Macaca mulatta: one gene and its partner. The protein of the gene in region 2 binds, or shares a complex with, the protein of the main gene of each other region. Links are inferred from orthologs where the notes say so. Each region holds a gene or a part of one and is shown on either strand. Other genes may lie near its edges.

Region 1 (7,696 bases), on a different chromosome or scaffold from region 2:
GGCTTTGGTGCTAGATAAGACCATAGAATGCCTGTACAACTAATGGAGATGAGGAATCCCCAGTAATAACTGATGTGGATTTCCCACTAGCATGCTAGGATTGGATATCAGAGTCATATTTATATTCATTTAAAGGTGCTTTGAAAATGTGACATTTCTTATATGCTGAAGGGTGTGAACTAAGATCCATATCTGTTTGGTAGGCCTCCTATTCAAACTTACCTTAACAAATCCTTATTTTCTTTTGGAATGTTTTCATGAATATCGTGGGCTATGTTACAACTGTCTTCTTAATGGGATAGGGGTCAAGAACTCAGTTAGTTGGCTAGGTCCTAGATTCCACAGAGGACATGAGGATGAGAGGCCCCAAGCCTGCCCATCTGGTCACCTATCATTCACTAATGCAAAATTTGAATCATTTCAGCCATCTGACGCCAGGGATTTGCCTATTTAAATGAAGTATTCACTAAGATGCAAGGTCTAAGACGTAGTCGTCATTGAATGCACATTTAATGAGCAACTTCTATGTGCTGTGTACCAGTGTTAGAGAAATGTGATAATTAGGTTCAGTAATCAATGGGCTGCATATAATTATCAAACCTCCTTTCTTCTTTACATTGATCCTTTCTCCTGCCACTCCCCCTCTCTGTCTACACCATAACCAAAACAGTCCAGAATTTGGGGAAGAATAATTGACACCTGATGGGTCTAGTCATCACTTGATGGTGTGATGGTCACAATGTAGCCAGCCTACAACCTAGCCTGGTTTCTACTACTCTGACAATATATTGACTAGACACCTAAAAGTATGTTCAATAACTTACTAGCACCTATTGCAAGGGGGATGACAACAGTGGTAGAAAATACTTCATTATTTTAAGTATTTATGTCTCGGGAAAATGAACCTGTTTACTTGCAATTTGCATTTCTTTTCAAAATTAGCTTATGTGCATCTATGGCCTATCTCCCTTGTCTCTTATAACTTGTAAAAAAATCCTTTAAATTTTAAAGATATTAACAATTTGTATTTATGTGTTGTGATTATTCTGTTCTGTGTTGCATGCCTAATAATTCCTCTCATGTTGTTTTATAATAAAGTTATTTAAAGTATTTATGTATGAAAATCTATCCACCTTTTCCTGTAGGTATCCTGTCAATAATATTTAGAAAGGTCATCTGAGCCATGATAAAATATCCTTCATTTTAAACAAACAATCTATGGTTTCACTTATCAAATGTAAATCTTTAATTCATTTGGAATGTACTTTGGAATAAAGTGTAAAGCAAAAGATCTAACATTCCCCTCAAATATTTTGACTATCCCATCCTTTCACTAATTCAAATATTCCCTCTAACATATCTAACAAATTAAACACATATACACAGATACAGATATTTCCATTCTGTTACCCTGATTTGTTTTGGTGTCCAAAATACACTTTTAGGGTACCATTTTATAACAAATTTTTCTATGTGGCAACTTCTCCTTAATTTCCAATCTCAGAATTTTTCCATTTTCATGTTTTAGGTCATTTAAAAATAAACTAGTTTTATTAGCCTTGAATTTCCTTTGTATATCAATTTGGGGAGAAAAATACTTAGAAAACCATACATATAATCTGATCCAAATTTGTTAAAAAAAAAAAAAGTTGTGTGATCTTTATTACAAATATTTATGTATACACATAATTCCAAGAATATATGGTAAAGTATTAACTATTTCAGGTGTGTGCTTGTATCTCCCGTTTGTCCTCCTCCCACTCACCACCCACAACCACCCTCCTCCGGCCCCCTCCCCACCATCTACTTTCCTTCCTGCTCTGTGTCCCCCACACTTACCAACACAGACTATACAAAAGGTCTTCCTTGCCCTCCAGCTTCCAATTTGGCCAAGAGAAATACCTAGCAGATGTTCGGAAGAGCGCGAAGTCAAGCATTTATTCCCTCTCATTTCATTTTCTCTTTCAGGGTTGCTGTGAGCTGACTGCATCCTGAAGATTACAGCTACTGTCAGATGGACCTTTCCACACAGCTGTATACCATTCCAGTAACCCCTCCCTTACCTCCCACTCCCTCTGCTCCTCCCCACTTCCTTTCCTCTCGTCTCCTTTGCAGAGGGGTAGTAACACTGTGTTATGCCCTGAATTGTGCACCCACCCCTCCCCACACCCACCAAATTCATGTTGAAGTCCTAATCCCCAATACCTCAGCATGTGACTGTAGTTGGAAATAGGGTCTTTACAGAGATAGCTAAATTAAATGAGGTCATTGGGGTGGGTCCTAATCCAGTGACTAGTGTCCTTAGAAGAGATTAGGACACAGATACAGAGAAAAAGGCCATGTGATGACAGGGAGGACAGCTGTGTAGAAGCCAAAGAGAGAGGCCTCAAAAAAAATCCTCTGGCAACACCTTGATCTGACTTCCAACATCCAGAACTGTGAGAAAATAAATTTATTGTTTAAGCCACTCAGTCTCTGGTACTTTGTTATGGCAGCCTGAGCCAGCTAATATACACCACAACCCTACCCCTCTGGTGACAACTCAGGGAAAAAATTCTTTAACTCTCGTCAAATCATCCATTTTTGAGTTCCATTTATTTATTGCTTGGATCTTGAATGATCCAGCAGAATTACACAATTCTTATTTGCATTTGTTACTATGTTTTCTAAAATTTCTACAATAACCACAGAATACCAGCCTCAGTAACATGAAAGGCACACTGCAAATTACTTGCTTTGAAATTTAGAAACAAATTTTATTTAAGATCTGAAATACAATTCCTAAAATATCAACTTTTCCAGAAAACCGTGGCTACACAATAATGCATTGCCTCTATCATGTTAGAACGTGCATTAGACTCAAATACAAAAACCATGAAACAAATCACCATCCTTCAACAATTTGAGCAAAGATAGAATGCTTAAGAACAACATAGATGGACTTGCAGAGGATGGGCTGTTTTACTTCAAGCACCATAAAAAAAAAAAAAGAGCACAAATGCATGGGTTTTCAGGTATATACATTAAGTTGAACCTTTGGCACTAGGAATCAGGGCGTTTTGTCACGTAGCATTAACACATATTAGAAAATTGTGTAGTGTCAAAGGGATAGGAACCACCAGCATTCAAGCAATGTTGTCAACTAGGCAATAAAATGTTCTACTGTTTCTTCTTTGTTCTAATTACTGCATACACTGGTAGCAACTTTGAAATGAGAAAAGGAGCTTACACTCCTTTTATTTTCTGTTTAAAACAGAACAGAAAACAAACTGAAACATAAGCCCTGTTATACATTAACGATTTTAAAGAACATCAATTTTACAAGAAAAAGACTAAGAACAAAAAGTGTTTACAGATACAGGACAAAAATGGTGAGCTGTCTGTAGACGCTCACAGGGCTTTGCGGTGGTACTCAGCAGAAGCCACTTTGTAATCACTGGCAGTAAAGAGAGATGCAGAATTCTTTGCCAGATATTTTAGGAAATCATGCAAATAGCCCAACAATAATGCAAGGCTTTTCTCATCAAGGGGCGTATAGGCCAACATTGCTCCAATTCTTACAAATAATCTCAGTAGGTGTGGTGCTCCATAAACCTGAGACATTGGAGCATCAGGGTGAGCCAAGAGGATTTCAGCATACTGGGGCCTCTCAAATTTGTAGAGCAGCTGAGTGCCCAACATCACATTGAAATATTCTTTTATTCCTGCCACAACTTCATTAACTGCATATTCCTTATTATCAACATTTCCCTGCGACTTCTTGCAATTTGCATACTCCTCCAGAATTGCATCTACATTTTTCTTAGCAGGGAGTTGAAACAGCTGCTTCTGCCTGGTAACTAAGTCCCAGTCCTCAACAAGCCATGGTTTTAATTCTTCAGGAATCTTCACTTTAACCTCCATTCTATTCTTAAACGCCTCCTCACTTTCAACAGTGGGGTCTGCCCGGGCCCTTTTCTTCCGAGGGGGCTGAGGTGCTTCGCTGGTACTGCCACCATCTCCGTTTCCAGGAGTCTTCTGTTTGTTCTTTCTGGTCTTCCTCACGGATCCTGAAGGGGGATTCTCTGCAGAGCGACCCCCCCATCTTCCTGGGAGAGCTGGTTCAAGATTTTTCTGCTGTGGACCAGCTGTCTTCTTTCCCGAGGAGGCCCCTCTCATCTTACTTCTCTGCATGTTGCTTCTAGTTGGTTTTTTGAAGTTCTCTTCTTCTGCAGATTGCTGTCCACGAGGTTGAGAACCCTGCTTTCTGGAACTCATTCAACCCTGTTTTTATTCCAACCACTGTAATATATAAAATATTTTACTTGGTTGTTTTCTATGGCAACCTTTATGTTTCATAAAGGCCCATCAGAGCATAACACATTCTAACTCCCTTAAAATCTGGATTTCAAATCCCATTTCAGGACTCTTTATAAGTGATTTTTTTTTTTTACCTCCTTTCCCTCTCTCTGATCCTCACTACCAGCCACTACTCTCATCTCACCCAAATACTCATCACATCTACCCACAAATTACTCTGTTGATGCCACTCACAAGATAGGAAAGCAATTTTAAAGAAAGAAGGAATTAAATGAAAAAGAAACTATAAAAGGCAGTGGAGTTGAAATTTAAGACTTCTGAACAGGAGAAATGACAATATGGAATAGGGAAGGTTATACTTAGTTGACTAAGGGCAAAATGAATAACAGTAAAGGTTCTTGTGTAAGTCCAGAAAGGTCTGAACTAGGATGATGACAGAGGCAAGAGAAACTGAAGAATACAGAAATCATTAAGAATATAGTAAACAAAGGAGGGAGGAATCTGCAATTTCAAACCTGGGTAATTAAAGAATTTAATAAAAGCGCTGAATTTAGGGTTTAGTTTGGAATCAGAAATAAAATGACAGAACATAGGTAATTCATCCATTCATTAATCTATTCAGTTTGTCATTATACATTACTGCATATCTGCTTTGGGACAGGTACTATGGTAGGTGCTAGAGATCCAAATATCTAAAGTGACAATTATAAAACAATAAGGTTAGTATAATGATAGTTATAGGCACAAAATGGCTTGGGAGCAGATACAAGAAATGGTACATGACACCACCGTCAGTGATTGTTGAAGAAGCTAAAAAAAAGATTGGTGAGGGAGGAGTCAGTGATGACTCCCAGGTATGGGTGATTAGGTCATTAGTATTATCACCAAATGATAATACTCCATTTACAGGAGGAGAAAATGGATTGAAGGAAAAGTTGTGTTGGGCCTATTGCGTGTGAGGTGTACAGTTAAACATAAAATTATAAAGCTCAGTTTCGTCCAGCTAACTGGGTACCTCCCCCAACACACACACACACACACACACACACACACACACACACACACACACAAAATTAAAGCTCGGGTGCGAAGTAAAAGCCAGAAATGGAGATCTGAGAGTAAACATCACATAGCTGGTAGTAGACACTACGAGGGCCAATGAAATCAGGGAGAAGAGAGGAAGAACTTCAAGTATGGAATTCTGGAAAACGTAAGGACGAAAGGCATTTAAGGGATGCATAGAGACCACAAATGAAACAAAAATTTTAAGAGTAGCCATAACAGAATTAGAAGAATGTCATTTTGGATGCCAAAGAAGATGAGCGTTCCAAGAAGAAACAGGTATAATCTACAGTGTAAAGTGCAGCAGGGAGTGCTAGTGAGAAAAGGATGCAAAAATAGTCTTCCATTATTCTTACGGTGTGACAGAGGAAACAATTCCTTTGACTTACACAATCTTCCTTCTTTCCCTTCCAAGAACTCCTAGTGATTTCCCAGATGAAATCTTATAGATCTTCTGGGATGGTCTAGAAGGGTGAAGTGGGAGATACAACCTAGAAAGAAAGGCAGGTATCTGCAATGAAGATGAACTTTTGTGAAATCATCTAAGGAAAAGAAAAAAATGAGTAATTTATAAACATGTGGTTTATATGTTTAAACACATATATCAATCATATACTGCAATTGTAAATCGTGGTATGAGAGAAAATACTTGAGTTCTGCTGTCAGACAGACCTTTACTTCAGTTAGGCTCCATCACTGATGAGTTGTGAGACCTCAGGCAAGACATGTAAGCTCTCTTAGCCTCTTTTTCTCATCTGTGGAATGTGGCAAATTACCCATAGCCTTCACAGGCTCCTGTGAGAATTTCATAAAGGTGATGAGGCTGAACAGCTAGCACAGTACCTTGCCAGAGTATTTGTACATGGATACAAAGATGTTCAATGTAGTGGTGTTTGCAGTACTGAAGAACTGGAAAACACCTACCTATTCTTCAATAGGAAAATGATAACATAAATTATGTATGACTACTACAGAAGAACATTCAAATGAATTAAGCAGAGATCCATGTACTGACATGGAAAGATGTTCAATATATATTAGGTAAACAGGCAGATGGCGTAATACTATAGGATCCCAAATGCAATACGATCGTAAAGAGACAGATAAGGCCGGGCGCGGTGGCTCACACCTGTGATCCCAGCACTTTGGGAGGCCGAGGCAAGCAGATCATGAGGTCAGAAGTTTGAGACCAGCCTGGGCAATGTAGTGAAACCCCGTCTCTACTAAAAATACAAAAAACAAAAAAAGTAGCCGGGCATGGTGGCGCACGCCTATAGTCTCAGCTACTTAGGAGACTGAGGCAGGAGAATTGCTTGAACCCGAGAGGCGGAGGTTGCAGCGAGCTGAGATCGCACCACTGCACTCTAGTCTGGGCGACAGAGACTCCATCTCCAAAAAAAGAAAAAAAAGATAGTACAGGTACAGAAATAAACATTAGTGTGAAATAGTTTTTGGGAAGAGTGTGCTCTCATTTGTGTGTGTGTTTTAAACAGATGTCTATAAATGTGCATGGAAATATCTAGACAGATAAATACCAGCCTGTTAAAATCAGGGTAACTTCTGAGAAAGGGATGATGGTAGACCAGCCTTAAACCAGGTTTCTCTAGTAACTACAACTTTCACCTAAAGAAAAAGCCCATCAGCCATTCTGTAGCCGTTAACACTGTGTAGGCAGGCATCAGGGAGGCTCTGAGAAGAAAATCAGAGATAAGAAATGTTTGGTAGTAGCACCTGTGGGCGAAAAGAAAAGAAGGCCGGGCACGGTGGCTCAAGCCTGTAATCCCAGCATTTTGGGTGGCTGAGGTGGGTGGATCTCTTGAGGTCAGAAGTTCAAGACCAGCCTGGCCAACATGGTGAAACCCCGTCCCTACTAAAAATATAAAAATTAGCCAGCCATAGTGGTGCACACCTATAATCCCAGCTACTTGGGAGGCTGAGGCAGGAGAATCGCTTGAACCTGTAAGGTGGAGGTTGCAGTGAGCCAGGAGATTGTGCCACTGTACTCCAGCCTGGGTGACAGTGAGACTCTGTCAAATAAATAAATAAATATGCACGCATGCTTGAAGACTAGATCCCTGAATCAGGAAAGCCAGTTATTGGGAAGAGAGGCCTGGATGCTAGTACTTTCACTAAGCAAACAATATCCTCTAACTGAAAGAGCACAAAGCTTTGAGCAGAAATTCAAGGGTAAAGTCAGTCTTCAGAAAGCATCAAAATTTGTAAATATGGAGACTGATCCCTGTGGGAATCAGAAACTTTCTGGCTGAGAGGGACACGGAGACACATCCTGTGAAGGATCAGACAGTGGTGATAGTGGCCAGTGTATCATGGCATT
Region 2 (8,409 bases):
TGCCAGAAATGGAAGTGGCAAAGGGAGTACTGGGACCTGATGAAAGAGGGAATAGGAATTGAGGAAATCCAAGAAAACTAGGACTCCTCCTGTACCTTATAGGCCTTGGTGACTACTCGGCGCTTCCTTCTTGGCTCTTCTGCTTCTCCATCGCTGGATGGTTCATCCCCTTCATCAATATCAAAGTCAGAGTCCACTTCGTCCTCTGTATCTGACTGGTCCCCTTGATACTCATCATCTCCGGATTCCTAAGGACACAGGGAGATGAGGGTTGGCTGGCAATGGAAGCCTTAATGACCCTTCAGGAAGAACAGAATCTCTCAACTTTCTTGATAAGGGTTGCCCTACTCTCCTTCCTAATCCAGTCCTTCATTTTCTTCAAGCAAGAAAACTTTCTAGCTAATGGCCTTTGGCTCCAGTACCACCTCCTTCCAACATTAATTGATAGCGCTTTACCTGCAACACACTGTGTTAAGTACTGGGAAACAAAAGGATATGGTTTGGTCTCTACTTTCAGGGGCTTACAGTAAAGGGGATAACATAATCTTACTTTTTTTTTTTTTTTTTGAGATGTGGGTCTTGGCCAGGCACGGTGGCTCATGCCTGTAATCCCAGCATTTTGGGTGGCTGAGGTGGGCAGATCACTTGAGGCCAAGAGTTCGAGATCAGCCTGGCCAACATGGTGAAACCCTGGCTCTACTAAAAATACAAAAATTAGCTGGGCATGGTGATGCACACCTGTAGTCCCAGCTACTTGGGAGGCTGAGGCAGGAGAATCACCTGAACCCAGGAGGCATAGGTTGCAGTGAGCTGAGATAGTGCCACTGCACTCCAGCCTGGGCGACAGGGCGAGACACTATCTCAAAAAAAAAAAAAAGGCATGAAGAGGAGTTAAACTATGGTTGAAAACACTGTTAGTATTTAGACAGTCAAGAGGGAAGAAGGAATCATGGGCGATGAAATAGCAGAAACAAAGGCGCAGAAATGGTAATGTGTACAGCATGTTTATGGAATAAAGATTTAGATCTAAGTAAAACTTTTCTCTATCAAGAAACCTTGTTAGCCAACTGTGTTTCGCTCCAGCACTGCCTCCTTCCAACACTGATTGCACTGTAGGACTATATGATTTGAAAAGAAGGTTGCGGCTGGGCGCAGTGGCTCATGCCTGTAATCCCTGCACTTTGGGAGGCCGAGGCGGGTGGATCATGAGGTCAGGAGATCGAGACCATCCTGGCTAACACGGTGAAACCCCATCTCTACTAAAAATAGAAAAAAATAGCCAAGCGTGGTGGCAGATGCCTGTAGTCCCAGCTACTCAGGAGGCTGAGGCAGGAGAATGGCGTGAACCCGGGAGGTGGAGCTTGCAGTGAGCTGATATCGCGCCACTGCACTCCAGCCTGGGCAGCAGAGCGAGACTCCGTCTCAAAAAAAAAAAAAAGAAAAGAAGTTTGCATTCCTGCATTCCATTTATGGAGAAACTTAAATGTCACACTAATAAACACAATTTTAACCTGCAGGCCAATAATTCTCAATCCCCTCCATCTCCTTATTTGTCCGACCATTGATAATCATTGTTTATGTAAACTAAAGTTACTGAGAGAAATATGTGTCATTCCTCAGATGTGTTGGGACAGAAAAACAGCTGAGTACTGCTACTATGGATAACGGAGAGCCACCGAAGATATAGGGGAGGGGTAACAGTATGTACAAGGGGTATTTCAGAGAGCTCTGGAGGCAGTTAGATGGCCTGAGTAGAGAATGTGAAGTACAGCCTAGACCTGAGGTGATACTGTTTAGGGCTAGAATGGCAGCCATATTAGAAAGAAAAGGGAAAAAAGTCAGTTGAGGGAGAGGGAGTCAACTGGGCTGGGTGACACCTCACACATGTGGCTCTCTCTTCAATCAGTGATGCAGACTAAAGGGCTAATCTTGGTACACATGATGCCAAAGCAAGCAAATAACACAGATGGTTGACCCTCCAAACCAGCCAGAGTTCAATTTTGCACTGATGACCATCATTTCCTCCCAATTGATGCCTGTAAAAGACAGCCTGGGAACACATTAATCCCCTCAGCCTTAATCTGGTATTAAGCCATATCACCGGAGGGTAGTAGATCAACCACACATTAGCTTAGTGCCCAATCAAAATACTTGCACTAAATTACTACCATTCCTTTGCCTTTTATTGAGTCATTAATACACATCACTAGATAAGAGAATGTTTGTATATCATCTACGAAAACCGTTACTTTTTATAATATAAGGATATAATGATAAATGCTCCCTAGGATTTAAGACTGAATAAGTTTGTCTCTCTTGAACAACTTGTATGCTTCTTTCTTACTAAAAAAAGAAATACAAGGTTTGGCTACCAGGAAGCTCACAGCTAAATTTAATATCAATTGCTATTACCATTTTAGCAGAGGTTCCTGGTACAATTACTTCTGATCTGTCTCTATTTTTACCGTTTCTACTTTTTGTTTATATTGTAAGCCTCCTTAAATCCTTGTTGGAAGCATGAAGGGTACATATTAAATAACGAGTCGTAAAATGACAGAAATAGGAAAATGGCCTTAGAGGAGGGATGAGAAAGTTCTATTTTAAACTAGTTGGTCAGGGCTGTGTCAGTAATGACTCAGTGATGTGGGGTTTTTTGTTTTTGTTTTTGTTTTTAAACGGAGTCTCACTGTCGCCCAGGCTGGAGTGCAGTGGAGTGATCCACTGAAACCTCCGCCTCCCAGGTTCAAGCTAGTAGCTGGGATTACAGGCGCGTGCCACCACGCCCAGCTAATTTTTTGTATGTTTAGTAGGGACAGGGTTGCACCATGTTGGTCAGGCTGGTCTCGAACTCCTGACCTTGTGATCCACCCGCCTCAGCCTCCCAAAGTGCTGGGATTACAGGCGTGAGCCACCACACTCAGCCCCTAAATCCTGTGGGTTCTATTCCTTAATTTATCTTCAATCTTTCTGTTTCTCTACTGCCATGCCGCCTTCAAGCCATTCTCATTACAGAGTAAGTAATCTTTCTAAAGTACAAATTTTATCGTGGAACTCGGATGACTCTTCTCAGTCCTCTGGATGAACAGCAAAACTCCTTAACATGGCTCACAAGGCCCTAATGATCTGGCCCATGCCTACTCCCTCCAGGCTTATCAATCTTTAGTCTCCTTCATGCTCTGGAGAATGAAAGTAGACTTGCAGGTCCTAGACCAGGATCTCAACGTCTTTACATACTCTCCCCGATCTGCTCTGTGGACTACCTTTCTCCTTCTCCCACTTTTCATCAAGCTAAGGTCTACTTTTCAAACTGTCCTCAGCTTAAACATCATCCCTCCAGGGATGCCTATCCTGATCAACAGCTTTGGTTCAGATGTATTACCTTAACACTCTATCTTATATCTTACACCTTGTTTTAGTCCTTATCACACATTTTGTTTGTTTTTGAGACAGAGTCCTGCTCTGTCGCCCAGGCTGGAGTGCAGTGGTATGATTTCGGCTCACTGCAACCTCCTCCTCCCAGGTTCAAGCGATTCTCTGCCTCAGCCTCCTGAGTAGCTGGGACTATAGGCGCACGCCACCACGCCTGGCTAATTTTTGTATTTTTAGTAGAGACTGGGGTTTTACCATGTTGGCCAGGATGGTCTTGATCTCCTGACCTTGTGATCTACCTGCCTTGGCCTTCCAAAGTGCTGGGATTACATGCGTGAGCCACTGTGCCCTTCCTATCACACAGTATTTTAACTGTTAACCCAACCAGTTACCCCACTGGGGCATGGAGTATGTAAGGACAGAGCACTGTTTTTAATATTCTCGGTTTCCCTAGAGCCCAATACAACCTATCACCGATGGCATGCACTGGGTATTCAACACATTTAAGAAACGGGTAGATTCAACTAAAAAAATTTAGCAAGTGGCAGCCCAGTCCGGACACCTCACACATAATGTTGAACAAAACAGACCATCCCTAACTTTATACAGTTTACAATGCAATAGGAAAACATAAGCAAGTAAGCAAACCGAATCTAATTACAAACTGAAATATGTTCTGTGGGAGAAATAAATGGGGACACTTGTTAGGATAGTCAAGGAAGGATTATCTTCCTGAGAAAACATATACATTGAGACTTGAAAGCTGAAAAAGGAGTGGGCTAATCTCTACCTTTGGAGCAGTTCCTTTCCATGTCTCAGGTGAATAATCCGGCAGTGGGCCAACAAGTATACATCCAGCGACTGACTACTACTATCTGTGTGCCTGACGTATGCTGGAGGTCAGAAGTACAGTGAGAGATGGAACTACGCAAGTATGCGGTAGGTTTCTGCCGTTCTCTGGAGTGCCTCCGCAAAGCTTCTCCGTCTCATGCCCCTTTGACCCCATCCAGAGGTCTCCCTTGTAGGACTCCACACTATCCGTCCCCCCGCCCCGCCCCGCCCCCCGGCTCCGATTCACCGCACCCATCTAGGGTATCAGCTCCCAGAGCTCCGCTCTATTCCCCGCCTTCTTCTTCTTTGTCCGGAGATCCTCCCTCCAGGGCTCCTCTTCGCTTCCTCCCCTCCCTTTTCCCAGGCTCGGATCTTGCCTCTGTGAAACCTCCATAAGTCGTCTGGTAGAACTCATCTTCCTCCTCTGCCTCCAGAAGCCCGGAAAGCCGGTTCCCAGCGGTCTTCCGGGGTGCCCGGCCCCCAGCCAAACTCATACCGCCTAAGGAGACTGCTCCGCCACCTGCAGCCCCTCACCAGCTCGCTTCTGGGAGCTCGACGCTCGACACCGCTACCTGCGGGTGGACACCAGCGGCGGAAGTCGGGCGTTTACAGGCAGAAGTAACAGAGTGTCGAGAGACTCCTACTCCCACCTTCTAAACCCTCTTTACTCTTCAGCCTCTCCTACTCCTGCGCGGAACCTCTAGGCCGCTTGCCCTAGTGCTCAATGAGTCCACTTGGTGGCACGACGACCCGCATAAACCTAAGTCAACACATTTTCTTTTATTTATTTTTGTTTTTAATATATATATATACACACACACACACATATATGTATTTTTTTCGTAGGGTCGCTCTGTCGCCAGACTGGAGTGCAGTGGCACGATCTCGGCTCACTGCAACCTCCCTCTCCCGGGCTGAAGCAATTCTCCCCGAGTAGCTGGGATTACAGGCGCCCGCCACCATGCCCAGCTAATTTTTGTATTTTTAATAGAAACGGCTTTCACCATGTTGGCCAGGCTGGTCTCAAACTCCTAACCTCAGGTGATCCGCGCGCTTCGGCCTCCCAAAGTGCTGGGATTACAGGCGTGAGCCACCGCGCCAGGCTCACATTTTCTTTTAGAAGAGGTCATTCTCCCCGGTCCAGTCCGTTTTCCACACTGCTGCCAGTAGGAAACTTTCAAATTTTCTAAAAACCCAGATTTTGCCAGTCCTCTCCTCAACATTTTTTAATGGCTCCACATCATCTACAAGATAAAGTCCAAAATCCTTGAGAAAGAAAGCATAATATTGTGGTTAAAAACACAGCCATAGACATTTATCCGAAGGAAAGGACATAATTCAACATAAGGAAGCTGATTTAGGAAAAAAAAAAAAAAAAAGGAAATCAGTATTTCCAAGAGACGTCCGCACTCCATATTTATGCACCCCCATATTTAATGCAGCACTGCTTATAGTAACCAAAATAGGAAATCAATCTAGGTGTCCAACAACAGATGAATAAAGGAAATGAGGTGTATATACACAAATGAATACTATTTAGCCATTAAAAGGAACAAAATCCTGTCATTTGCAGCAACATGGACGGAATTGGAGGACACGTTAACTGACTTAAGCCACGAACAGAAATTTAAACACTGCGTGTTCTCACTCATATGTGGACGCTTTAAAAAAATTGATTTCATAGAAATAAAAAATAGAACAGATGATACTGGGGGCTGGGAAGTGCAGGGGGAAGGAAGGGACAGGGAAAGATTTGTTTTTTTTGTTGTTGTTGTTGTTTTTTTGAGACGGAGTCTCGCTCTGTCGCCCAGGCTGGAGTGCAATGGCCGGATCTCAGCTCACTGCAAGCTCCGCCGCCTAGGTTTACGCCGTTCTCCTGCCTCAGCCTCCCGAGTAGCTGGGACTACAGGCGCCCGCCACCTCGCCCCGCTAGTTTTTTGTATTTTTTAGTAGAGACGGGTTTCACCGTGTTAGCCAGGATGGTCTCGATCTTCTGACCTCGTGATCCGCCCCTCTCGGCCTCCCAAAGTGCTGGGATTACAGGCTTGAGCCACCGCGCCCGGCCAGATTTGTTAAAAGACACAAAATTGTGGCTCACACCTGTAATCCCAGCACTTTGGGAAGCCGAGGGTGTGGATCATGAGGTCAGGAGTTCACGACCAGCCTGGCCAAGATGGTGAAACCCCATCTCCACTAAAAATACAAAAATTAGCTGGTCATAGTGGTGGGCACCTGTAATCCCAGCTACTCGGGAGGCTGAGGCAGAGAATTGCTTGATCTCGGGAGTCGGAGGTTGCAGTGAGCCAAGATCGCACGCCATTTGCACTCCAGCCTGGGAAACAGAGGGAGACTCCGTCTCAAAAAAAAAAAAAAAAGACAAAATTGGGCCGGGCACAGTGGCTCACGCCTAGTAATTCCAGCACTTCGGGAGGCTGAGGCAGGCAGATCACGGGGTCAAGAGATTATGACCATCCTGGCCAACATGGTGAAACCCCGTCTCTACTACAAATACAAAAATTAACTGGGTGTGGTGGCACACACCTGCAGTCCCAGCTACTCGGGAAGCTGAGGCAGGAGAATCGCTTGAACCCGGGAGGCAGAGGTTGCAGTGAGCTGAGATCGTGCCACTACGCCCCAGCCTGGCAACAGAGCAAGACGCCATCTGAAAAGAAAAAAAAAAAAAAAGACACAAAATTACCATTTTTTTTTGAGACGGGGTCTCTGTTGCCCAGGCTGGAGTGTAGCAGCAGGATCATGGCTCGCTGGCTCCTTGACCTCCTGGGCTCAAGCTGTCCTCCCACCTTGGCCTCCCAAAGTGAGAGGTTTACAAAGTGAGCTGATTAAAGCCGTGAGCCACCACACCGGCCCCAAATTACATTTGTTTGTTCATTTGTTCATTTGTTTGTTTGAGATAGGATCTCACTCTGTCGCCCAGTCTGGAGTGCAGTGATGCAATCACTGCTCACTGTGGTCTCGACCTCCTGGGTTCAAGCGATCATCCCACCTCAGCCTCCCAGGTAACTGGAACTACAGGCTCACATCACCACACCCGGCTAATTTTTTGTACTTTTTGTGAAGATGAGATTTCTTTATGTTGCCCACAGTGGTCACCTGGACTCAAGTGATCCCCACTCCTCAGCCTGTCAATGTGCTGGAATTACAGGCCTGAGCCACCTCGCTTAGCTCCAAATTACATTTAGACAGGAGGAATAATTTCTAGTGTTCTTGGCCGGGTGCGGTGGCTCATGCCTGTAATCCCAACACTTTGGGAGGCTGAAGTGGGCAGATCACCTGAGATTAGGAGTTTGAGACTAGCCTGGCCAACATGGCAAAACCCCATCTCTACTAAAAATACAAAACTTAGCCAGGCGTGTTGGTGGGTGCCTGTAAGCCCATCTACTCAGGAGGCAAAGGCAGGAGAATCACTTGAACCCCAGAGGCAGAGGTTGCAGTGAGCCAAGATCGCGCCATTGCACTCCAGCCTGGGCAACAAGAGTGAGACTCCATCTCAAAAAAAAAAAAAAAAAAAAAATTCTAGTGTTCCATACCACTGGGGGATGACTATAATTAACAATAATATATAGTGTCAAACAGCTAGAAGAAGGATATTAAATGTTTGTGTTGGAAACAAATAAATGATACATTTGTGAGGCCAGGCACTAGGGCTCACGCCTGTAATCTCAGCACTTTGGGAGGCTAAGGTGGGCAAATTATTCCAGGTGGGTAGTTCAAGACAAGCGTGACTGACATGGTGAAACCTTGTCTCTACTAAAAAGTACAAAAACTGGCCAGGAGTGGTGGCAGGTGCCTGTAGTCCCAGCTACTTCGGAGGCTGAGGCGTAAGAATCGCTTGAAACCAGGAGGTGGAGGTTGTAGTGCGCTGACATTGTGCCACTGCACTCCAGCTTGGACGACAAAGCGAGACACCATCTCAAAATAAATAAATAAATAAATAAATAAATAAATAAATGATACATTTTTTAGATGACAGATATGCTAATTATCCTGATCTGATCACTATATATTTTATGTATTGAAACATCACTATGTACCCCATAAATATGTACAATTATGTGTCAATTAAAAATTAAAATAAAATAAAACAACAACAAAAAGAGAACACAGCTTTAGAGTCAGCCAGACCTGAATTTGAGTGTGAGCTTTAAGGTCTTTTAGCTGTATTACTTTGGACCAGTTGCTTTACTTCTC

Evidence for each region. Proteins that work in one complex are often made in the same cells at the same time.
Region 1: VPS72 (region 2) and MORF4L2 share a complex: the UniProt entries of both Homo sapiens proteins name them as parts of the nuA4 histone acetyltransferase complex. The link is inferred for Macaca mulatta from reciprocal best matches to the Homo sapiens genes VPS72 and MORF4L2.

What each region holds. Positions count from the first base shown.
Region 1 is NC_133426.1:110,305,977-110,313,672, forward strand, and holds the end of MORF4L2 (mortality factor 4-like protein 2), read right to left. Parts: intron 5,904-7,696; exon of another isoform or gene 5,751-5,903; intron 4,282-5,750; 5' UTR 4,258-4,281; coding exon 3,391-4,257; 3' UTR 2,732-3,390; downstream 1-2,731. UniProt on the Homo sapiens protein: Component of the NuA4 histone acetyltransferase complex which is involved in transcriptional activation of select genes principally by acetylation of nucleosomal histone H4 and H2A.
Region 2 is NC_133406.1:115,895,624-115,904,032, reverse strand, and holds the start of VPS72 (vacuolar protein sorting-associated protein 72 homolog), read right to left. Parts: upstream 4,731-8,409; 5' UTR 4,695-4,730; coding exon 4,578-4,694; intron 3,242-4,577; exon of another isoform or gene 2,902-3,241; intron 1,199-2,901; exon of another isoform or gene 788-1,198; intron 249-787; coding exon 96-248; intron 1-95. UniProt on the Homo sapiens protein: Deposition-and-exchange histone chaperone specific for H2AZ1, specifically chaperones H2AZ1 and deposits it into nucleosomes.